4 linked regions of the Arabidopsis thaliana genome follow. The protein of the gene in region 4 purifies or fractionates together with the protein of the main gene of each other region. This does not show direct contact. Each region holds a gene or a part of one and is shown on either strand. Other genes may lie near its edges. The genes, in order: TIR1, SLY1, RUB1 and CUL1.

Region 1 (5,750 bases), on a different chromosome or scaffold from region 4:
AGGTACACAATTTATAATTCATTCAGAGTTGGATCTAATATCGCTGAAGAGATAATTAAAAAAATAATTAGGGAGATAATTAAGGGATAATAGACAGCAAAGAGCAAGCTAGTTTTGAGTACGAAACCCGAGACTAGGAGAAAGAAATAAGAGAGATTCGCGGGGGAGCCATGCGTGGGATTATTATTCTAATCATTTCCTTAAAAAATTCATAATCAATGACCTCTTATTATATCAGTGTAAGTTAATCCCTTTTTCTGACGACATTAAAACTTATAATTTTAAAAAAACTTAAGCGTATTACGTGCAAGACAACTCAGCTCCACACTTCTCCCATCTGACTATACTCAGCCCTCTCTTTGTTTTTTCCTAATTATCTCTTTCTTCGTTACTACCTCAATTTCTGAGCACTTGCTTGCTACATTTTTTTTTTTTAAAATCTTCGTATTTGTATGTATGTCATTATAATTTTTAGATTTTATTTTTGGTTTAAGAACTAATCAACAGTACATTCAAAAAGAAAACTAGAAAGGTGCGATATTTTAAATAGTAGTTTAAGTGGATAAACGGTCAGGATGGTATGTAATACGAAGATGATATAGAACAGTTTGATAATGTGACAAGTTTTTTTAGTTAGGGCAGGACAGACCTATCAACTCCATGCTCAGACTCTGCAAAGCCCATCATACACTGTTTCGAGAAGAAGGGCATTCTCGTCAATTCAATACCCATTTATTTTCCTCTAAGCCGTTGTACTTGCGACAGAGCCCGAAATAATTGTAGTTTTTATACGTTTATTACACCCAGACGAGGTAAATTAATTAAGAAGTAATTATTAATTTTAAAAGTCACGATTGTGTATGTATGTATGTCCGTACACTGTTAAAAAGGGGTCCCAGATCTGACGGTCGTGATTAAAATGCGACGCTGCACTTTCTTTCTTTCTTTCTTCTCTACTTTATTCAAATTTTTCAGTATCCATTCTTTCTCTCTCTTTTTTTCTTTCTCTACTCATAAAAGTTGTTCACTTTAAATTATTGGATACTTCCCTCACATTTACTCTTTTTTGTGCAATCCTTTCAATTTTAATTTAAATTATTCAGCAATCTTCAAAAACATACAAATAATGTTTTAATCCAATCTCACACGAAAACACTGATTCTTGTTATGTTAATTCATCATTCAACTCTATTTACTTCACTTTAATGCTATGAGAAAGGATACACTTTAGTTAATCAAATTTATCAATACTATATATTACTAGAAAATAGAAAATGAAACTGTGATTAGTCTTGATGGTTTATTTATGAATCCAAGTGGTGGGTAAATAAATGAACATGCAAAACTAATAATAGGAGGAGATAGATGCTCAGATTCCACATCAAAACATGATTGGACGGTTGTGATGTCATCATAAATAACAGTAATAGCTTCTTTTTTTATTGTTTTGTTACCGTCAGATCATTAGTAGTCTAGTATTTTTTTTAACATTCTGTTGTGGTCCCCGCAATTTACGGGGCTTCCCCTCATATCCAGCCGTGCATCGCGTATCATTAGATTCCCTCTTCTCCTACACCTTACCACACCCTATCATTGATCTCCTTCTCGCGCTATTTTGATAGAAGCCGCGATAAGCCGACCCCCCCTCTCCAATATCTCGTCCCGTTTTCTGCGGCTGCCCTTCTCTGCACAGTCGATAAGATAATCTCCCGCTTTCATTCAATCGGACGGCTGGTATTTGAAGCTTATAAGACACGTGTCATCATCAGAATCGACAATCACAATCACCGAAAAGGCTCACATGGATATGTTTGACCACGGTTAACTTTTAACCCAACCATGGTTGGCTTTTTTAACTTGACCTCCTTCTCCTTCCCCCTATCCTTTTCTCTTCTCTTCCCACTCTCTCTCTCTCTCTATCTATCTTCTTCATCTTTGTTTCAGCTTCTCCTTTGAAACTAGATTATCTCCGTTAATGGCGCCTCAGATCTAACCTTGGGAGTTATATATATATACTTGTTCAACTCTTCTTCGAACGCTGTCCAACTTCTTCCTCTGGTTCGATCATCGAGATCTCGAGGTTATTTGGCCGCAATGCAGAAGCGAATAGCCTTGTCGTTTCCAGAAGAGGTACTAGAGCATGTGTTCTCGTTTATTCAGCTGGATAAGGATAGGAACTCAGTCTCTCTGGTGTGCAAGTCATGGTACGAGATCGAGCGGTGGTGCAGGAGGAAAGTCTTCATCGGGAACTGCTACGCCGTGAGTCCAGCGACGGTGATTAGGAGGTTCCCGAAAGTGAGATCCGTGGAGCTTAAAGGAAAACCTCACTTTGCTGACTTTAATTTGGTACCTGACGGATGGGGAGGTTACGTGTATCCATGGATTGAGGCCATGTCTTCGTCTTACACGTGGCTTGAAGAGATAAGGCTGAAGAGGATGGTGGTCACCGACGATTGCTTGGAGCTCATAGCCAAGTCTTTTAAGAATTTTAAGGTTCTTGTGCTTTCTTCCTGCGAAGGCTTCTCCACCGATGGTCTCGCTGCTATCGCTGCCACTTGCAGGTATTCTTTTTCTGAATGTTTTTTGTTTCATCAAGAAGACTCCCTTGTGTCTCTAGGAAGAAGCTTTTGTTTGTATTAAACTTATTGGTGTGTGATTTGTATATTCATTATACTACATAAAGTCTCAATTATAGCAAATTCATGTACTTGTTATTTGATCTGGGCATATAGGTTTTGCTGCGTTGTTCCTGCTGATGTTACTCTGGTCTTTGTGAGCTTTTTTTTGGTTTGGTCAAGATTTTGCGTATCTAAAAGATATATGTTTTAATCACGTTTCTGAAGATTCTTATTATAGCCACTCTCTTTTTCTTTCTGGTGGGTCTTATTTAACGGTGGTGTATCTATTTATTCCTGGATTATTCGCTCTCAGTGAATCTCCTGAGGTGGGAAATCTAATCAATTTGGCTTTGTGTGTGTTACTTTTCTTTTTGTAGGGGACTTTCAATTTTCTTTTTTTACCTTGTTGGGAAACTTAGATCTGTTTTCGGATTCCCCTTCTTTACTCGCTTTAGCTCTGTTTTAGCATCTCTCACATTGCTTCCACGTGATAAATTTAGTAATTTGTTATTGTTCTATGCTTAGATAGTTTCCCAAAGTGATCTTTCTACATTGTATCAAATACAACTTTGGACAAATTAATGACAATTATGCTCATGTATTGTAGGCAATGTTTATGTTCTCGAAGTTGTATAATGTGGGTCACTCGATGCTAATTATGTGATTTCTTATGCAGGAATCTGAAAGAGCTTGACTTACGAGAGAGTGATGTTGACGACGTTAGTGGCCACTGGCTTAGCCATTTCCCAGATACATACACTTCTTTGGTATCACTCAATATATCTTGCTTAGCATCTGAGGTCAGTTTCTCTGCTCTGGAAAGGCTGGTGACTAGGTGTCCCAATCTCAAGTCTCTCAAGCTTAACCGAGCTGTTCCACTTGAAAAATTGGCTACTTTACTTCAAAGAGCACCTCAATTGGAGGAATTGGGCACTGGTGGGTACACTGCAGAAGTGCGACCAGATGTTTACTCTGGTTTATCTGTAGCGCTCTCTGGGTGCAAGGAATTGAGGTGCTTATCTGGATTTTGGGATGCTGTTCCTGCCTATCTTCCAGCAGTTTATTCGGTTTGCAGTCGGCTTACAACTTTGAATCTGAGTTATGCAACAGTCCAGAGCTATGATCTTGTCAAGCTTCTTTGTCAATGCCCTAAACTGCAGCGCCTCTGGGTGAGTCCATTTTAACATACATTAACACATGAATTTGGAATAGGTCATTTTACTGTATGGTATGAGAAAGCTTATGTTCATAGTTTTCTTAAAAAATTTGAATGATATAGAGCAATATATCTGAATTATAAGCATTAAAGCCTTTTTCTTTTTGTAACTGTGCTCTAACTTATTATTGACTACAGGTGCTTGACTACATCGAGGATGCTGGTCTTGAGGTGCTTGCTTCAACCTGCAAGGACCTACGCGAGCTGAGAGTGTTTCCGTCCGAGCCTTTTGTCATGGAACCAAATGTGGCATTGACGGAACAGGGGCTTGTCTCCGTCTCCATGGGCTGTCCAAAACTCGAGTCGGTTCTCTACTTCTGCCGTCAAATGACCAATGCTGCATTGATAACCATTGCTAGGAACCGTCCCAACATGACTCGCTTCCGTTTGTGCATCATTGAGCCAAAAGCCCCAGACTATCTGACTCTAGAGCCACTGGATATTGGATTTGGAGCCATAGTAGAGCACTGCAAGGATCTCCGTCGCCTCTCTCTATCTGGCCTCTTGACCGACAAGGTTTTTGAATACATTGGGACATATGCCAAGAAGATGGAAATGCTCTCAGTGGCATTTGCAGGAGACAGTGACTTAGGCATGCATCATGTTTTGTCCGGGTGCGATAGCTTGAGGAAACTAGAGATAAGGGACTGCCCGTTTGGAGACAAGGCGCTTTTGGCCAATGCTTCAAAGCTGGAGACAATGCGATCCCTTTGGATGTCTTCTTGTTCCGTGAGTTTTGGAGCCTGCAAGTTACTAGGACAGAAGATGCCAAAGCTGAATGTGGAAGTCATCGATGAACGGGGTGCACCGGACTCGAGACCAGAGAGCTGCCCTGTTGAGAGAGTCTTCATATACCGAACAGTGGCTGGTCCTCGATTTGACATGCCTGGCTTCGTCTGGAACATGGACCAAGACTCAACAATGAGGTTTTCCAGGCAAATCATTACTACTAACGGATTATAAGACAAAGAAACGAGGTACATTTTTCATTAATCCTTGTTCATCATCCCATATAATCGTGTTCCGGTTTAGGAACATGAGAGAGCTCGGTCGCCAATAATTTGAATCTCGGCTGCTTCATATAACCATCAAGCTCATGAGCAATGAATAAGTGGAGAGAGAGAAAGAGAGATCTAAGAGAGCTTTGTTTTATTTATGTAAGAATTATTGATTGTTGTATGTTTATTTGGCTACTTACACTGAGAGATCCTGGTGGGGTATTTTTCTTAAGAGGATAAGAGATTTTTTTAAAAGACAATGTCAAAAATGTAACTGTTCTACTTGTTTTGTTTGGACTCTTTTATCCTTTTAAATGTTTTCTATCTCTCTCTCTCTTTGTCTTTGCCATTTCCTTTGTCCGCTTAATGAACTGTTTGCAGCCTTTTCGGTTTTGGAACAGCACCTAGTTTCGTCTCAGGTCCCTACACTCTCTTTATCACCATAATTAGAAACAAGAGAATCTTGCTCTGTGTAAAGGTCTTGGAATAGCATCATCGTCAAACGTGTGATAGGACACAATGTAATTGAACTGTTGTTTTTCATATGAAAAACAAGCTTTTTCAAATTTTCAGTTTACATGATGACTAAACACAGTAATACCATTTATATAACAGTACGATATTTTCCGTTTCAAGTGTTTTTAGGCCAAGAACAAAAATAAATAAGCAGAACACAGCCCTATCGCTCTATGGTTGGACCAATGACGGGAAAATTCAATGAAGAAGAGTTGGCTTCAGAAAATGATCACTCTGTTTCACTCACTGGATCTTGTGGCGTTGAGATTCTCCGAGTGTTGTATGAACCGCAATCACTGCACTTGTGTCCCAAAATGTGGAACATAGCTTTACTCCCCTTGTTGCAGTCATTGCAGAGAATTGAAACCTGCAGACATTTTCTTGGCGGATGTAAAACCATGA
Region 2 (3,481 bases), about 11 Mb from region 4:
TGGTTTATAAGTTCTTTGTAATCACTCGAGTTTGTTTATAAATTTCATATAAAACCAAGAACAGAAAAGGAGTGTTTTTATCAATTCACACAAGCTCTTAAATTATTTTGTTGACTCTTACTTACACCTCTTTATTTCATTATTCTTTCTTTACCGACATATAAAAAAAGAAAATGACAAAAGTGGTTACGGCGATAATGATTCTGATTTGAATAAGGAGATGGTGGTACATGGTAATGATGTGTAGGCTTGTAGCTATCACTCAAATACACATAAATCTAGCGAAATTAAGGCTAACCATCGCAAGAATAACCAAATCAAACAACATTTGAGATTTATCGTACCGCTGTAAAAACTAGACGGCAAAACTGGATCCGACAGAGTAGTAACCACCGGGAAATGTTACAAACGAAGGACATAAAGAAATAAGCAACATTACATAGCTTGACGTTGATTCCGGTTTGGACTTAAAGTGGTGAATGTTAGGTTTATTACCAAATTGGTGAACATTGTTTTTCATTGAATAATAAAACAGAATCGTCACTAACAGTTCTTAATCTTACCAAACTGGATCACGAATCGATTTTGTTACAATCATTGTCCAACTACGGACCAACTTAACTTCACGACAGAACCATTACAACAAAATCGAATCACATTTGATATTAAATCTACTTTTAATCAGCTCCGATTACAGTAATTAAAAATTCTCATCACCCTCTATTATTACAGAACACAACTGTTGCTAACAGTCTGGCTTATGGATACCAACAAATTTTATTGCCAGCATTGAACATCACATCTGACTTACCAATCAACAAACTCCAAATACACAAACTCCAAAACCAAACTCTAATAATTTGTAGTCAATTATTTGGATTCTGGAAGAGGTCTCTTAGTGAAACTCATCTTCTCGTAGTATCGAATTGAGAGAAGAGAAAGAGTGAGTTTAAGCTCGTCCTTACCGAACCTAGCACGCGGATTGGGTTTAGAGAGAGGCCAGAGGTAAAGAGAGTGGAGTCTTCGGAAGCCACCAAGCGCCAACACAACAGATCTGAGCTGGTTCTGCCCGCAGCCGATGTTAGTCCAGTGACGAGTACAGATCAGCTCCCAAAGCCGCTCGTCTTGTGCCGTTTTGTGCCAGATCTTGCTCACGCAAGATGACATAGCTAAGGTCTTTGCGTCGACGTGTTTCAACACCTCGTACACTAGATTCTCGTCTAAATTGGAGAATCCGATTTCTTCTTCCTCTGTACTCTTCATCTTCTTGTTTGTCTCGTTGTGAGCATCACCGGCCAAATCAGAGTCGGTAGTACTGCGCTTCATGTGGAATCGATTGCGAAGATCAATCAAAGTTGTTTGATTTGAGAGGAGAGATTGAGAAAAAAAAGTATTGAATTGAAAAGAAGATTAGAGATTGGGGTTTCTCAGATGCCTTCTCTTTGAGAACTTTCGAAGACGACAAAACGAAGATAAAAATGCTTTTTGTAAAATGACGACTTTACCCTCATATACTCCATAGCTGTTTTGGACTTTTGGAGTCCTTTTTTTTTTTTTTGTCATCTTGTTTGTTAAATAAAATTGTAAAACATAAAAAACAATACAACAAAAAGCCCAAGCCCATCTTATAATGTTGTTTCTTCTTAGTTCTTCCCAAATGTTTATTTTCAACTATTAAAAAGAGTGTTCATTGAATGTACCAGAGAGACCTCTAGGAATTTTTGTGAATTAACGGATAATCCATTTTTTAAATCTTATTTCAACTATTGACTAATTTAGCATCACGTATTTTCAGATAAAAGAATCAGTCGTTTAGGACTTAAACAGAGTGAATTATTTGGGTGCCTTTTCATTTTCTCACTTGAATTGTCCTTTTTAACAAATAGGTATTATTAAATCAGAGTTAGGAAATTGTACTGTACCTTTCTTTTTAAGTTTGTGTCAGCAACTTGTATTTTGCCTCTTTTTCTGATCAAATTAATAAATATGGATTGCACGACGAGTCTTTTGACACAATCTATATATACTGTCAGAGTGATGACAATTGCTTGGAATTAATCAGAAATTCATTTGTTTAATGCTCTCTAACAAACAATAAGAAATTCAATATAACTTCAGATGAGAACAAATCATTTCTATCTTCACTGGATCATTCTTTTCTCTCGAAAATGTTCGATGCCACGATCTCAAAATGTCTGCAGCTTCTATATATGTTCTTCCGTAAACTAAATTCCATCAAGTTACCATCGGATAACGCGAGTACCCCTCTAGCTCCTAGCTCTACTCAATTTTCTATATAAAAAAAAAAACTTGACGAAACCATGGATTAATATATATATGCGAGTAACTTGTATTTTGCAGGATGAGTTCGTTCGATGGTACTTGGGGCTATCCTTCTCAGCTAGAGTGGTGATTTATATTACAGTTTTGGGTACTATATTTCTCCCATATTTATATAATTAACATATGGAGTACTATTTATCTTCAATGTAGAGCTAATTTGTTTGTTTTTTTGTTTTTGTTATTGTTTCTCAGGAACAATAATGACGATTACTTATTTGGTATTGAAATTCCTGAGCGAATGTGACATGGAGGATGACACACAGAGGCTACCATTGGTGGCAGAAGAAGAAGTCACCACCGATTGGACGCCGCCGTTGATCAATGAGTCGTTGGAGGTAACGGGGAAGGGAGATGTAGAAACGGCGTCGTTTAGCTCGTCGGATGATGTGGACTACTCGACACTGTGTGTTATATGCTTCGAGGAACGTAGAAACTGTTTCTTTGTACCGTGTGGTCACTCTGCCACTTGTCGCGGCTGTGCTCAAAGGATCTTGTCGGAAGAAAGTAAGGTGTGTCCGATTTGCCGAAGGGTGATACGCAAATCAAAGAGATTAGTGTTGAAAAAGCTTTGAGCGCCGTTGCTTTGCCTAATCACCATTTTGCGAACTCATGCTTCCAAGAAACGCCCTTTGCTTTGCGTTTTATTATTATTTGTTCTTTTCAGTTTTCAGCGACACAAGTGAAAGAAAGATCCGAGTATCTTTGGTGTCACCACAAGACTATAATTCCATACAATCTGTAATTTAACAATGCAATTCTTTAACAACCAAAAACAAAGACAATTCCATGCCAATGTACACACTAGCATTTGGATTTGTTTCTTTTTCGGTAAACCGATTTGTATTTATCATGCCAACTGTTTGCGTTTTTGGGGGTGTATCATGAAATTAAAATCAATTCTGTAAAGTTTAGATTTGAAATTTGAAATTATTTTTAAAAATCTATTTTGAGCCATTTGAAATGAAATTTTTTCGGAGTTTCATAACATTGGATGTTAATGAAAGTATTTAAAATCTTAGTTGAATAACACCAAATTATAGATTCTAGTAAGCATGATTTACAAATGTAAAGATTTCATAACAACAGATTTTAAAGTATAGTTTAGAATCATTAATTGAATAACATTGGATTAGTGTTA
Region 3 (4,180 bases), on a different chromosome or scaffold from region 4:
ATGGTATACAACTTTATATAATTTTTATTCAACTCGTAGTTAAAAATAAAAATCTGTTTGGTTGTGGAAATATGGAATATCTCTCTCTCCTTTATGAATCAACGTACAATTATTAGAAATTTCACATATCAAATAAAATAAAATTTTGGATACGAATGGTTACGATAGTTGGAGTGGACGAATCCGTTTATGGAGTGAACCTCTAGTATAATTTATAGTAGTACATGTCAAAAAATATAACAAATCTGATGCGGACTAACTATGATCCGTTTGTACATAGAAATAAATTTGGTATACAATAGATTGTTATCTATCCCAAAAATATAATAATCTAATTCGCTAATCGTTTAGCGAATTTCGTCCGCTACATGCATTTAAACCTTTTATTCATATATACATTGGGGAGTCGATTCATTTTATCATTTGATTTTAAGTTAATATTTAAGTTTGATGAGATTTATAATGGTTCATTTACCTATTATCTGTTCTATTTTATGGAGATTGATTAAGCATACCAAAACTGACCAAAAGCCATCGGTGATGCTATAATGTTAAGAGACTCACCAACTTGGAGTAAACCAGAACAAACCACGTTTATTCAACAACTCAAGATGTAGACATACAAAAATATGGATAAGAATCACCTATTTTATAAAGTCCTCTCATGCATTGTAAGGCGTTAGCTATGTGTAACTTGTTTTTGTTTTTTCGTTGCATCTTTATTGTGGTGTTGAATAACTGATTTCAATTTTCAATTGACTGAAACCAACTTTCAGAAAGCTAACATATGTCAGTGAAAATAAAAAATCAGCAGAAAATTAATTGAATTTATATGTAGAAACCAAAGCTTAAAAACCTTAGAATAGAGAATTGAGAAAAGTGATCTATTGGGTTGGATTTAAAATTATCCGATCCATTGGGCTTAATGAGAGACCTCTTTGTGATAAATTGACAAGAAATAAAGGCCATCTTTTATATGAGCTCTTCACGTCAATGTGGACCATCTTGTAATCTATCATATGGTTCATACTTTTAAAATCACATGGGTTCTATATGTGAACAAGTTTGAATAAAGATGGTGAAAAGGCTTTTTAGTGGTTGAGAAGAAAACGGTTAGAGAGATGTCTTTAATTTTGGTATGATGCCATTGGGATACACATATGGTCCAAACAAGCGTGAAGCGTCTCCAATACCTACATGAAAGGGTGAATTCTTTCACGATGAGTCTGCGTTTATAATAACAAAACGCTAGCTAGAGAGACAACCCATTCAAGTCCAATGAAATGTTGTCGAGCTTTTAAGATTCTTCCATTTGACCTTTCAGGTTTATCACCGTCTAAAATTGAACATAGCTTGATCTCTTTGACCATAGTATTTAAGAGGTTTCGCGTCAAACCACTCACTGCCACAACATGGTCCATAGTATGTAGAGACTAGTGGGTTTTGCACTAAGCTCTAGATTCCAACAAAATTGAATGTCAACAATTTGTTGTTTTCGTTTTTGGTTCTAAAACTAAAAAAAAAATTCAATGTCCCCATATTTTCTTAAAATCTAAGAAAACTAATTTTAGTACAAAATCTAAAAACTCTTTTAATTTTTGTTTTTAAAAGTTAAATATCCTAAAATAACAAACAAACAAAAAAATCTCAATATATTTAAAGCCACATTAATATATTTGATTTAAAGATAATTTTTAAAATTGTTAGTAAAATTATATAAGAAATGGAGAAGAAATAATAGCGTAGCCCAAAAGCTAATTACGAATTCTATCAAAGGATTTATTCCAAATCTTTCAAAAAGTATTTTTATTCCAAAATCCTCAAAACTATATCCCAAATTTTATTTGTATATATATAATACTTTTCCCGTCCGTAATAATATTCATAAACACCATTTCAGCGAAGAAAGGAAAAAAAAAATGCAGATCTTCGTCAAAACCCTCACCGGAAAAACCATAACCCTAGAGGTCGAAAGCAGCGACACCATCGACAATGTCAAAGCCAAAATTCAGGTTTCTCTTTCTCTCTTTCTCCGTCTCCCAATTCCACCTCCTCGTGCTTTTCTTAGGATTCTAGGGTTTTGCACTATGAATTTGTTTGATTGTTGGAGACACAGATTGGTTTGCTTTGTTTGATTGATTTTTAGGTTTTCTTTCCCCGATTATCTAGCGATCGATGTTAAGATTTCTTTAGATTTCTGTGTAACAGTAAGCACAAAGGCTCTCTTAATCCTTCATGTGTTTGCTTAATTTCGTATTTGTTTATGTTTTATGGTACACTTGAAGGTATGTGAATTGCTTGAGAATGGTTAATTGTTTCTGAGTTTAAGAAGATTGGATTAAGATTATTGTTAATGATCTTTTGATTTGGTCTTCTTCTAATTGGTTTATGAATGGATGGGATTTGATGAAAACAGGACAAAGAGGGAATACCACCTGATCAACAGAGGTTGATATTTGCTGGTAAGCAGCTTGAAGATGGTAGAACATTAGCGGATTACAACATTCAGAAAGAATCGACTCTTCACTTGGTATTGAGGCTTAGGGGTGGGACTATGATTAAGGTGAAGACTCTCACAGGGAAGGAAATTGAGATTGATATCGAACCAACCGATACTATTGATCGGATTAAGGAACGTGTTGAGGAGAAAGAAGGTATCCCTCCTGTTCAACAAAGGTAAATAACTTCTTTTTTTCCAGTTACTTCAGAAGAATTGAGTCGCAAAGTTTTTGCCTTGGGAACATTGAGTCTTGAACTATATTAACTCTTTGTGATATCTGTCTCAGCTCTCTTAGAGTTGTTTGTGTGGTTGAGTCAAAACTGATTGTATAAGATAGGTTGCAGTTTATTGACTTGAGTTTCATGTTTTAGTGACTTGCCCCTCTTGTGAAAATTGCAGCTCCTTTCAGCTCAGCTCTTTTACTTGATTGTATAAGTTGCGGTTCATTGACTTGATTTTCATGTTTTAGTGACTGGCTGCTTCCCTCTTGAGAAAATTGCAGCTCCTTTCGAGTGTGTTTACTTATGCTTTTGGCATCAAACGATTCTACTCTGCGTGCAAGCTGATAATCTATGCTGTCTCATATAACAGTGATTCTCATTAGTATTTCTAGGATGCTTATATATCTCATGGATGTTTGCAGGCTAATCTACGCCGGAAAACAGCTAGCTGATGACAAAACGGCAAAGGACTACAACATAGAGGGAGGCTCTGTTCTTCATCTGGTTCTTGCCCTTAGGGGTGGTTTTGGTCTTCTCTGAGAAGTAACTCTTGAAGATATCTTTTTCTCTTTGTATGGCTTGTTGGAGTTCATGGGAAAAAAGTGATTGCAATTTGGATATGATACTTTGAATATTATGCTGTTTCACTGGGTTTGGATCATTTTACCAATAATCTGTTAAATATCGAATCATTTTGTTTTGTTTAACATCGAATCGTACTTTAACATATTTATTTGGGATTTAGCTATTTATGATGAATATCTTTCATTCAAGAAAGAGGCTAGACATGTGAAAATAGGATCGAGCTATGTGTAAGATCGGACCAGGCCGATTGAGATTGCTGGTTGCATGAGTCCATCAATAGTCCCATATTTATTTGCATTACAATGAAATAGTGGTTACAAATCGTCAAATCCAATGAGTGTCCATCACATTTAACAATTTTTACTTTAATTTTCTAAGTAACTTAACTTGTCAACTTGAGTTTGATTCTCTATACTTTCATAGCCAGAAAAGCACATGAGACATGACTAATGTGATTATAAAAACTAGAAGAAATCGTATGGATGGGCCGACCAAAAAAAAAGATGACCGTTGAGATTTAAACGTTAAGCTTTAAAGCTTTACAAGACATAAACGTTGCGGACAGAATCGGATCCTTCCAGAGCCTCCCACAAACTCATACATATAAATACATGTGAAGTAGAATCAAAGCAAGAACAAGAGTCCAAGAATAAAAATCAATCAGAAAGAAGATTGAACATAGATCTCAAGAGTCAAGATCGATGGGTTTGGTTGTGGTCATATCTCTGCCTCTAATTTTCTTCTGTCTACTTCTCGGATTTGGCTGCTACTTCCTCGGAAAATCTCGCGGCCGTCGTGAGATCCGTACAAATCCTCAGGTGTATGGAGCTCCAGCTCCGCCTCCCGGTGCTATCGCCGCCTCCTCTCCGCCGTT
Region 4 (7,595 bases):
CCCGTTGGAATTTGCTGATTCTTATAATTTGCACATCTCCTCGCAGCTTTTTCATCATAGTGCAATGGCATGATTCTTTGTTTGTTTAACAGAATCTCAAGCAAATAAAAAGTGAGAAACATTTGCTCGATGGAGTAAAATGACTCCGCACCTCAAAACATATATGAACAGAATTTCTCCATGTCGTATATATCATTCTCTGTGTAGGCTCCAAATATCGTCTTTGATGATCCGTTCATAATTCATATTAACCCAAAAAAGAAAGAAAAAAGCACATTGGAATCAAGTAATATAATCCACCAGCTCCACCATTAACCCGTTCAAAATTGTTATTAACCTTAACATACCCGTCTTTGTATCCCAATAATATTTCAGATCATCATACAACAGAAAAACGGCTTAAAATATAAGACATTGGTCCTAAGCAGAAACTATTACGGTTCTGGTGGACTATAGCTAATGACGTAGATGATTACAATGATTTTTAATGTTCGGCGATTGAGGAAGGCACCTTCCGTCGGTTCATCTTTGTCTCATTAGCGTTCGATTATAAGAAATCTCATATTATTTGTTACGACTTTCCCATCCGTCAATATAACACAGAGATACATAAAACTTAAATAATATGATCAAGGATAAATATATTAGAAAGCAGAGATTCATTCATTAAGGCCATTTCTCCATCTCCATTCAATATTTAAGAAACAAAAATCCACAAGGCAAATTTGCATCCCAAAAAAAAAGCACAGACCGAATATTTTTTAAAAGAGAAAAATAGCGAAAATGAAGCGATAAATTTGTTTTAGGACAGTCTCCATATGGACTTCTAAATATACAAGCAGATTCCTTTCATGAGCCAACCACTTCCATAGTTGTTGTTTTTTTGCCCTAAGCCAAGTACCTAAACATGTTAGGATTCTCCTTGTCCCTCTCCAAATAATCTCTGGTTATTAAATCCTCCATACGCTTCTTGATCGCTTTGATATCAGGCTGCAACAAACATCACAAATCCAATGAGTTTCATCACCACGTGCATCTTCAAATGTCTCTGTATAAATATAATTATATGTATAATTTACCTTGAACATTCGGCTAAGTTGCTCAACACACTCAGAAACAAGTTGTTGATGTCCCAATACTTTCCTGCTCTTCATGATCCTGACAATGGCAGCATCAATTGCATATCTTCTGTCTTTATCGACATCTTCAACGACTTTCTTCCTTTCATCAACTGGGGGAAGAGGGATCTGTGACGCAAATCACCCAAGTTGATGTTAGTTATTAACAATATGTAAAACATGACATAAACTTGCAGACTTTTGAGTATTACTATTAACGTCACAAACCTTGATTCTGCGCATTCTATCGGTGAATTTGGAGTTGAACTCAAAGGCATCATTCTGGGAGACAGTCTTGGTGTTTGGCTCCTTAAGGAGTATCTTGTACTTAGCACATGACAAGGAATGAAGCAACCTAACTAGATCTTCATGGCTTAGGTTCAGTTGAGCCAAGATCTCAGTGTAACTTAACTTGTCAGTTGTGTTAAAGAGTAGAAGCACAGCAGCCTATAGAGACAGAGAACGTGGCATCAGAGTCCGTTTACAGATAGAAAATATATATCAGTATTTTCTGAGAAACATACAGTACCTGGTAAGTAGACACTATTAACTCGATGGCCTTTTGATCAAACTTCCCGTTTATGTGACAAGTTCCCAGTGAATAGATCCACGTAAGCTTCCTGTGTTTCGTTTTCGTTTCATAAAACCCTTTGAAGACTTCAACACACTTGATCTGAAACAAAGAATCAACGAATTAGATCTATCAGAAGCAAACAATCTCCTTTTCAGGTATGTAAGAAAATCAATAGAGTTTTTACCATTTCACTGGGTAGATTTATGTCAAATGATTTGTAACTTGGCCAGAAACCAGTGGTAAGAACAGTGACGGTCAAGTCAATCCCTGGGTTTGCAGCAGGGTTACTGCCTAGATAATCCTCGAAACTGTTTTGGTTTTCTCTTGCCAGTGTCAAATCCGTCACCTGTCACCAGCGGATTAAAATTATATAGAAAACATAAGTCATCAGAGCACGCACCGCTTTAAAATAAGAAACACAGGGACACTCAAACTAACCATGCCCTCCATCTTAGAAGTAAACTGTCCACCACATTGTTGCTTGAGCTTTGTCAGGATACTTCTCTCATGATCATCATTAGCACTGCGATCAAATAAGAGCCTACGGGCCAGCTTCTTCCTGCAATCAAAACCATAAACAAAATGGCTTGCAACTCAGTAATCCAACTTATGTCAATCAAATTGTATATTGTTGCAAGGCATCTCCACAAAAAGCTAGTAAAAACAAAACATTACAAGAAAAACAAAGAGTAGAAGCAAAAAGAGTCGATCCACAGATAAAGAAAGATTGAAGTTGGAGATAAACCTGTAGAACTCAGCGAAAAGATCCTTGTCACTTATGTATGCAAGCAATTTGACAACCTGTAACAACATTATAAAATTCAGGACCACTCTTTGGAGACTTGAAAAAGAAAAAACAGTTTGACAAAAGTACCTTCTCAAGCGTATCTTCGATAGCTTCATCACTCAGCTTTTCACTTCCCCCCTTTTTGAGAATATTGTCGCAAAATGTTGCAAGTAGTTCTGCACTTGAACTTCCAGCAACCGTTTTGTTACAAAAAATCTCAAATGCCTCTTTCAAAGCCTAAAATATGTTTCCATAAACTTAGGTTAGTAACACAACATAAACATGAATAAGATAGACAAATGACAAGTGCGCAGAAAGAACATTAGACCTTATGGAAGAGGGTGTGGTTCTGGAAACACTCGGTGACATATACCATGTATTTATCATGAAGTTCAATCACTTTTCTGATAAGAACCTGGAAATAATGAAAGGACAGTGAATCGTTAGCAATTTTATCCCCAAAAAAAATGAATCTCTAATTTCCAATATATCTTTACTACAATCGGTTTATAATTTTACCTGTTCCTGGACGCTAGCAGTATTTGCAACCTGTGGAATAAAAACGATCTTAGCAATCACAAACGAAGAAAGAAGAGTTATCCGAATATAACAAGTAAGATAATATGAACCTGATTAGTAGCCGTGTCTTCGGCCTGTTGGACAAGAGCGTTACCCTCTGCTGTGACATGCTGTGAACGAATAACAAGTTACAGTTAATGTCATACAGTAATTAAGAGACTGCAAGTAGACCATGAAGAAAAGACTATCCATTTGCTAATCATAAACAAAAGAATGAAGATAGGTAATAAACCTGCTTAAAGATGTTTGCAACAGGTTCCAAGCCTCGCAAAATTTTATGGTAAAGCCTGTACATCCTGGAGAGATCATCCACCTGAAAGTAGACAAATATAACCATTAAAGAAATAATTAAGTCACTAACTACTCAACAATAAAAACAAAAATACTTGCTCTACCTTGTCATCTCTTAGCAATGCACGGCACCCTGAGTGTTCTTTTTCTAGAAGCTGACTTGCAAACACAACCAGCAATTCATGTTGTACTTTCTGCATACAAAAGATTACTATACAAGTCAAACAGATATCAATCTTTAAAATCAAGTATGCCTGGACTACGCATTTAAAAAGAGTCTGGAAAGTATCTCAATACAAATAACAAAATTCAAAATCAAGGCTTATGCAAGATCTATGGTTTCTTCATCAAACCTACAAGTACAGGCATAATTACATAGTGCATAATAACCAACCTCAACCAGCTTTGGCTCACTGCTTGAGTGTAGGTAGTGAGCCACTCTCTCCCTCTCCTTCTTTAGACATTCTTCAGACTGTAACATGAAAGCACAGAAGTTAATAAATAATTTCAACTATTGTGAAATAAAAACAAATTTTAGAAAATGATATCACGAGTCATGCCTTCAACATGTAATCAGGGCAAGAATCTTCCTGAATCCAGCTTGATGCCTTGCGAGAATAATACGAAGAAGTATCTTGAAGCATGAAGCTTTCAAAATCTTCTTCATACCTCTCCATCTGCCCCATTCCAATCTCTACATAGATATCTAATACGTTTTTCAGCAGGGCCCTATCAATCTGCTCGCCCTCCCGTTCTTTATCAACCTGACAGAAGAACAGGTCATGTTAGACCTTGAATCAGGCAAAAGCCAGAGTTGGATGTAACTGCACAACAATATTGACGCCATACTTACAAGAGCTATTACAGCTTGTTTGACCTTAGAATGTAGCTCATTATAAACCTGAAGCGAACAGAATCAAGGAAAAGTTAAAAATATTTCAATACAACTGAAAGCTATAAAGCCACAGGAATGAATGCCATACCAGGTCACGGAAGCATGTCAGGCCAACTTCATTCAGTGGTGGAAGTGATCTCCGAGCAATGAAGTAACGGTCAAGGTAGTAGAAGAAGCGGGATAGCCATCTGACCATTACTTTATGGTTTGACCATCTTTTAAATAGCTCCCGCAGCATAAACTCATCATGCTTCTCCCTCAACGCAGGCAAAACCTAACCACAGACAACAAGAGAGCAAACATTCAAAACCGTTTGAATCAACTTAAAACCAAGAGGGGACAGGACTTCTTGACATATGAAACCATGCACAAAAGTGGCATCTTAAAATTCAGAGGTAGTAAAAACGAGAAGTTTATAAGAAAGAAACTAAATATCAATCAGACTCACTGTTGAGTTAATATATTCCTCAAATGCTTCCCGATACTTGTCATAAAGCTGCTGTGAGTAATCATGAGGAGGTTTCTGGGTGCACATGTTGTAGATAGTCCTGAGAATCAAATAAATTCCCCATCATAAGTATCAGGACAAACAGCCAAACCGCTATATAAGGTAATAAACAAGTATAAAACCTACGTATAAAGCATCATATATTGCTCAGAGTCAAATGCTGGCTCATTCAATCCTTCCAGAATCCGTTTCAGCTTAGTAATTCCAGTCTGCATATAGTCCCATCCTTGCTCCAAGTCAATAGTCTTGCGCTCCATGTTGACAAACAACTTTTCAAGCTCTCCTCAACCTAAGTTAACCAAAGAACAAGGAGAAAACCAAAATTTAGAACAGCAGTATTAAGCAACACAATGAAATGACTGAAGCGAGAGAGTCAACAATATTTATCATTCTTCAGAGGTTATAATAACACGTTAACACCCACATTATCGAATGCGAAACGAGTATTATCACCCAAATCAAACCCAAACTATCAGATTGTGCGCAAACGAGGACATAAGCATCAGAATATACTCGAGAAACAATCAATCCATGAGATAAACACGAAATTACACAGTAGAAACGCAATCCAGAGACTCCGACGTAACCCTAACAATCTCGATCCCACAAAAATTCAAATAAAAACCTAGAAAGACGAACAATCAACAGAATGATAAAAAAATCAACTGTCGTATGGAACAAAACAAGCGAGAATCCGACAGAAATAGTGATACCTCGAGATCTTAAACCCTAATAATCAGAAAATCGCGTCGCCGTACCCCAAACAGACCCTGACGATTACCGATTCCCGATTACACAGGATCGGCGAGAGCTGCTGCGATCGAAAAAGAAGCGAGAGAGAGAGAGAATCAAAACCCTAAGAATCGTTCAGGAAAAAAGCGTAAAATAGAGAGAAAGAGAGACGAGACCTATGAGAAGGGCGGTGAAAAGATATCTCAGGAAACAAACTCGTTCTCTTCTATTCTATTATTTTCAGGTCTTATAGATTTAATTATTTTTATTTTATGTCAACTAATATATTAGTATAATATTAAACAAATTTAATTTCTTACCTTTTCAGAGATCTACATCAAGACGCTGCGTTTTATAATTTTTCTTTGTAAAGTAACTTATTTACTTTTATGCCCCTTTATTTTGCCTTCCTTACTCAAACCCTAACCCGAATCGGCTTTTTGACAATCCGAAATTAGGTAACCATGTTCATTGAATTTATCGTTTCAACACATTCGAATCACTGAGTCCTACGTTTCAGTTTAATTCCCTGATGCACATTTTGAATTCGGTTTGCGTATTGGTCTTCGAGTTTTCCGTCGGCGGCCATGGACGCGTTCAAGGAGGAGATAGAAATCGGGAGCTCGGTGGAGTCTTTAATGGAGCTATTGGATTCGCAGAAGGTGCTTTTTCATAGCCAGATCGATCAGCTCCAAGATGTCGTCGTTGCGCAATGCAAACTTACCGGCGTTAATCCCCTTGCGCAAGAAATGGTGGGTTATTGTTTCTATGTTTTTTGGTATCTAAAGTTCGTGTTTTATTGGGGTATGGTGATATGGGCAAAGCTGAGAGGGACAGGTCATTCGGATTTTGGAATAAATTCTTTGAAGGGTATTGAGTCTAGCAAAAATTAGAGGTGTTTTTGGTATAAATTCATATAGCTCGACCTCTCCGTTTCTTCTGTGAACTGTAATGGTGATGCTTCAACTGTTTATATGTCATTTCTCTGATCAAGTAATCATCTCTGTTAAAGACATTAATCTGTTTAATTTTTTTGTTGTTTCAGGCTGCTGGTGCTTTGTCCATTAAAATTGGTGAGTCATCTTAGGATTCGTGAGATCTTTTGGCATAATTACGTATATCACAGAGAATGTTTCAATTCATTGTTGCTCTCTAGGTTCATTAAAGGCATACCCAACTTTTACGTGCTCGATGCCTAGTATCTGATGAATTTGTAAATATTTCAGGAAAGCGGCCAAGAGACTTGTTGAATCCTAAGGCTGTTAAGTATCTACAAGCAGTTTTCGCAATTAAAGATGCTATTAGTAAGAGGGAATCTCGGGAGATAAGTGCTTTATTTGGCATCACAGTCGCCCAGGTATTGTTCTTCTACATGATATGTACTCTTTTTTGCCATGCTTTTAGAATTCCATGTCAGTTTAGATCTGTCATGTTGAGGTACTCATGAGACTTTGGTTTGTCTCTTTATTATTTTCTTCAATGGCAGGTTCGAGAATTTTTTGTTACTCAAAAGACAAGAGTGAGGAAACAGGTGAGGCTTTCAAGGGAGAAAGTAGTTATGTCCAATACGCATGCTTTACAAGATGATGGTGTTCCGGAAAATAACAATGCCACAAATCATGTTGAACCCGTTCCCTTGAACTCTATACATCCGGAGGCATGTTCTATAAGCTGGGGTGAAGGTGAAACAGTGGCACTTATTCCACCTGAAGATATTCCACCTGACATCAGCGATTCAGACAAATACTTTGTTGAGAATATATTTTCTCTGCTGCGTAAAGAGGAAACATTTTCAGGCCAGGTGAAACTAATGGAGTGGATCATGCAGATACAAGATGCTTCTGTGCTGATCTGGTACTAGTTGGGGGTTCTCTTTCACCCACTGTCTTATTTTATTTTATTGTTATTATATTCCCGTCTTGACAGTCATTTTCTATATGTGCCACAGGTTTTTATCAAAAGGAGGGGTTTTGATACTTACAACATGGTTAAGTCAAGCTGCTAGTGAAGAGCAAACAAGTGTCTTACTTCTTATCCTGAAGGTACGAGATTAATTTACTTGCAGCTGGATGGCTGTAAAAATATGCAGATTGTTTTATTATGGATAATTG

Evidence for each region.
Region 1: the proteins of CUL1 (region 4) and TIR1 purify together in Arabidopsis thaliana (affinity purification with western blotting; 4 studies listed by BioGRID, with this or other methods). This does not show direct contact.
Region 2: the proteins of CUL1 (region 4) and SLY1 purify together in Arabidopsis thaliana (affinity purification with western blotting; 2 studies listed by BioGRID). This does not show direct contact.
Region 3: the proteins of CUL1 (region 4) and RUB1 purify together in Arabidopsis thaliana (affinity purification with western blotting; 2 studies listed by BioGRID). This does not show direct contact.

Annotation. Positions count from the first base shown.
Region 1 is NC_003074.8:23,272,526-23,278,275, reverse strand, and holds TIR1 (F-box/RNI-like superfamily protein), read left to right. Parts: upstream 1-1,645; 5' UTR 1,646-2,094; coding exon 2,095-2,561; intron 2,562-3,294; coding exon 3,295-3,787; intron 3,788-3,972; coding exon 3,973-4,797; 3' UTR 4,798-5,211; downstream 5,212-5,750. Other genes in the region: AT3G62970 (zinc finger (C3HC4-type RING finger) family protein), read right to left, coding at 5,578-5,715. UniProt on the Arabidopsis thaliana protein: Auxin receptor that mediates Aux/IAA proteins proteasomal degradation and auxin-regulated transcription.
Region 2 is NC_003075.7:12,561,503-12,564,983, reverse strand, and holds SLY1 (F-box family protein), read right to left. Parts: upstream 1,706-3,481; 5' UTR 1,327-1,705; coding exon 871-1,326; 3' UTR 502-870; downstream 1-501. Other genes in the region: AT4G24204 (RING/U-box superfamily protein), read left to right, coding at 2,169-2,255, 2,362-2,431, 2,536-2,915. UniProt on the Arabidopsis thaliana protein: Essential component of the SCF-type E3 ligase complex, SCF(GID2), a complex that positively regulates the gibberellin signaling pathway.
Region 3 is NC_003070.9:11,217,157-11,221,336, reverse strand, and holds RUB1 (uncharacterized protein), read left to right. Parts: upstream 1-1,718; 5' UTR 1,719-1,919; coding exon 1,920-2,012; intron 2,013-2,416; coding exon 2,417-2,676; intron 2,677-3,143; coding exon 3,144-3,261; 3' UTR 3,262-3,642; downstream 3,643-4,180. Other genes in the region: AT1G31335 (uncharacterized protein), read left to right, coding at 4,008-4,180. UniProt on the Arabidopsis thaliana protein: Ubiquitin exists either covalently attached to another protein, or free (unanchored).
Region 4 is NC_003075.7:1,126,729-1,134,323, reverse strand, and holds CUL1 (cullin 1), read right to left. Parts: upstream 5,810-7,595; 5' UTR 5,661-5,809; exon of another isoform or gene 5,567-5,660; 5' UTR 5,511-5,566; exon of another isoform or gene 5,466-5,510; intron 5,042-5,465; 5' UTR 5,010-5,041; coding exon 4,879-5,009; intron 4,793-4,878; coding exon 4,693-4,792; intron 4,519-4,692; coding exon 4,333-4,518; intron 4,251-4,332; coding exon 4,203-4,250; intron 4,114-4,202; coding exon 3,910-4,113; intron 3,822-3,909; coding exon 3,744-3,821; intron 3,544-3,743; coding exon 3,454-3,543; intron 3,372-3,453; coding exon 3,291-3,371; intron 3,169-3,290; coding exon 3,109-3,168; intron 3,029-3,108; coding exon 2,999-3,028; intron 2,895-2,998; coding exon 2,808-2,894; intron 2,717-2,807; coding exon 2,567-2,716; intron 2,494-2,566; coding exon 2,438-2,493; intron 2,252-2,437; coding exon 2,131-2,251; intron 2,039-2,130; coding exon 1,877-2,038; intron 1,792-1,876; coding exon 1,648-1,791; intron 1,566-1,647; coding exon 1,347-1,565; and 6 more. Other genes in the region: LD (Homeodomain-like superfamily protein), read left to right, coding at 6,072-6,236, 6,530-6,557, 6,711-6,841, 6,971-7,338, 7,433-7,526.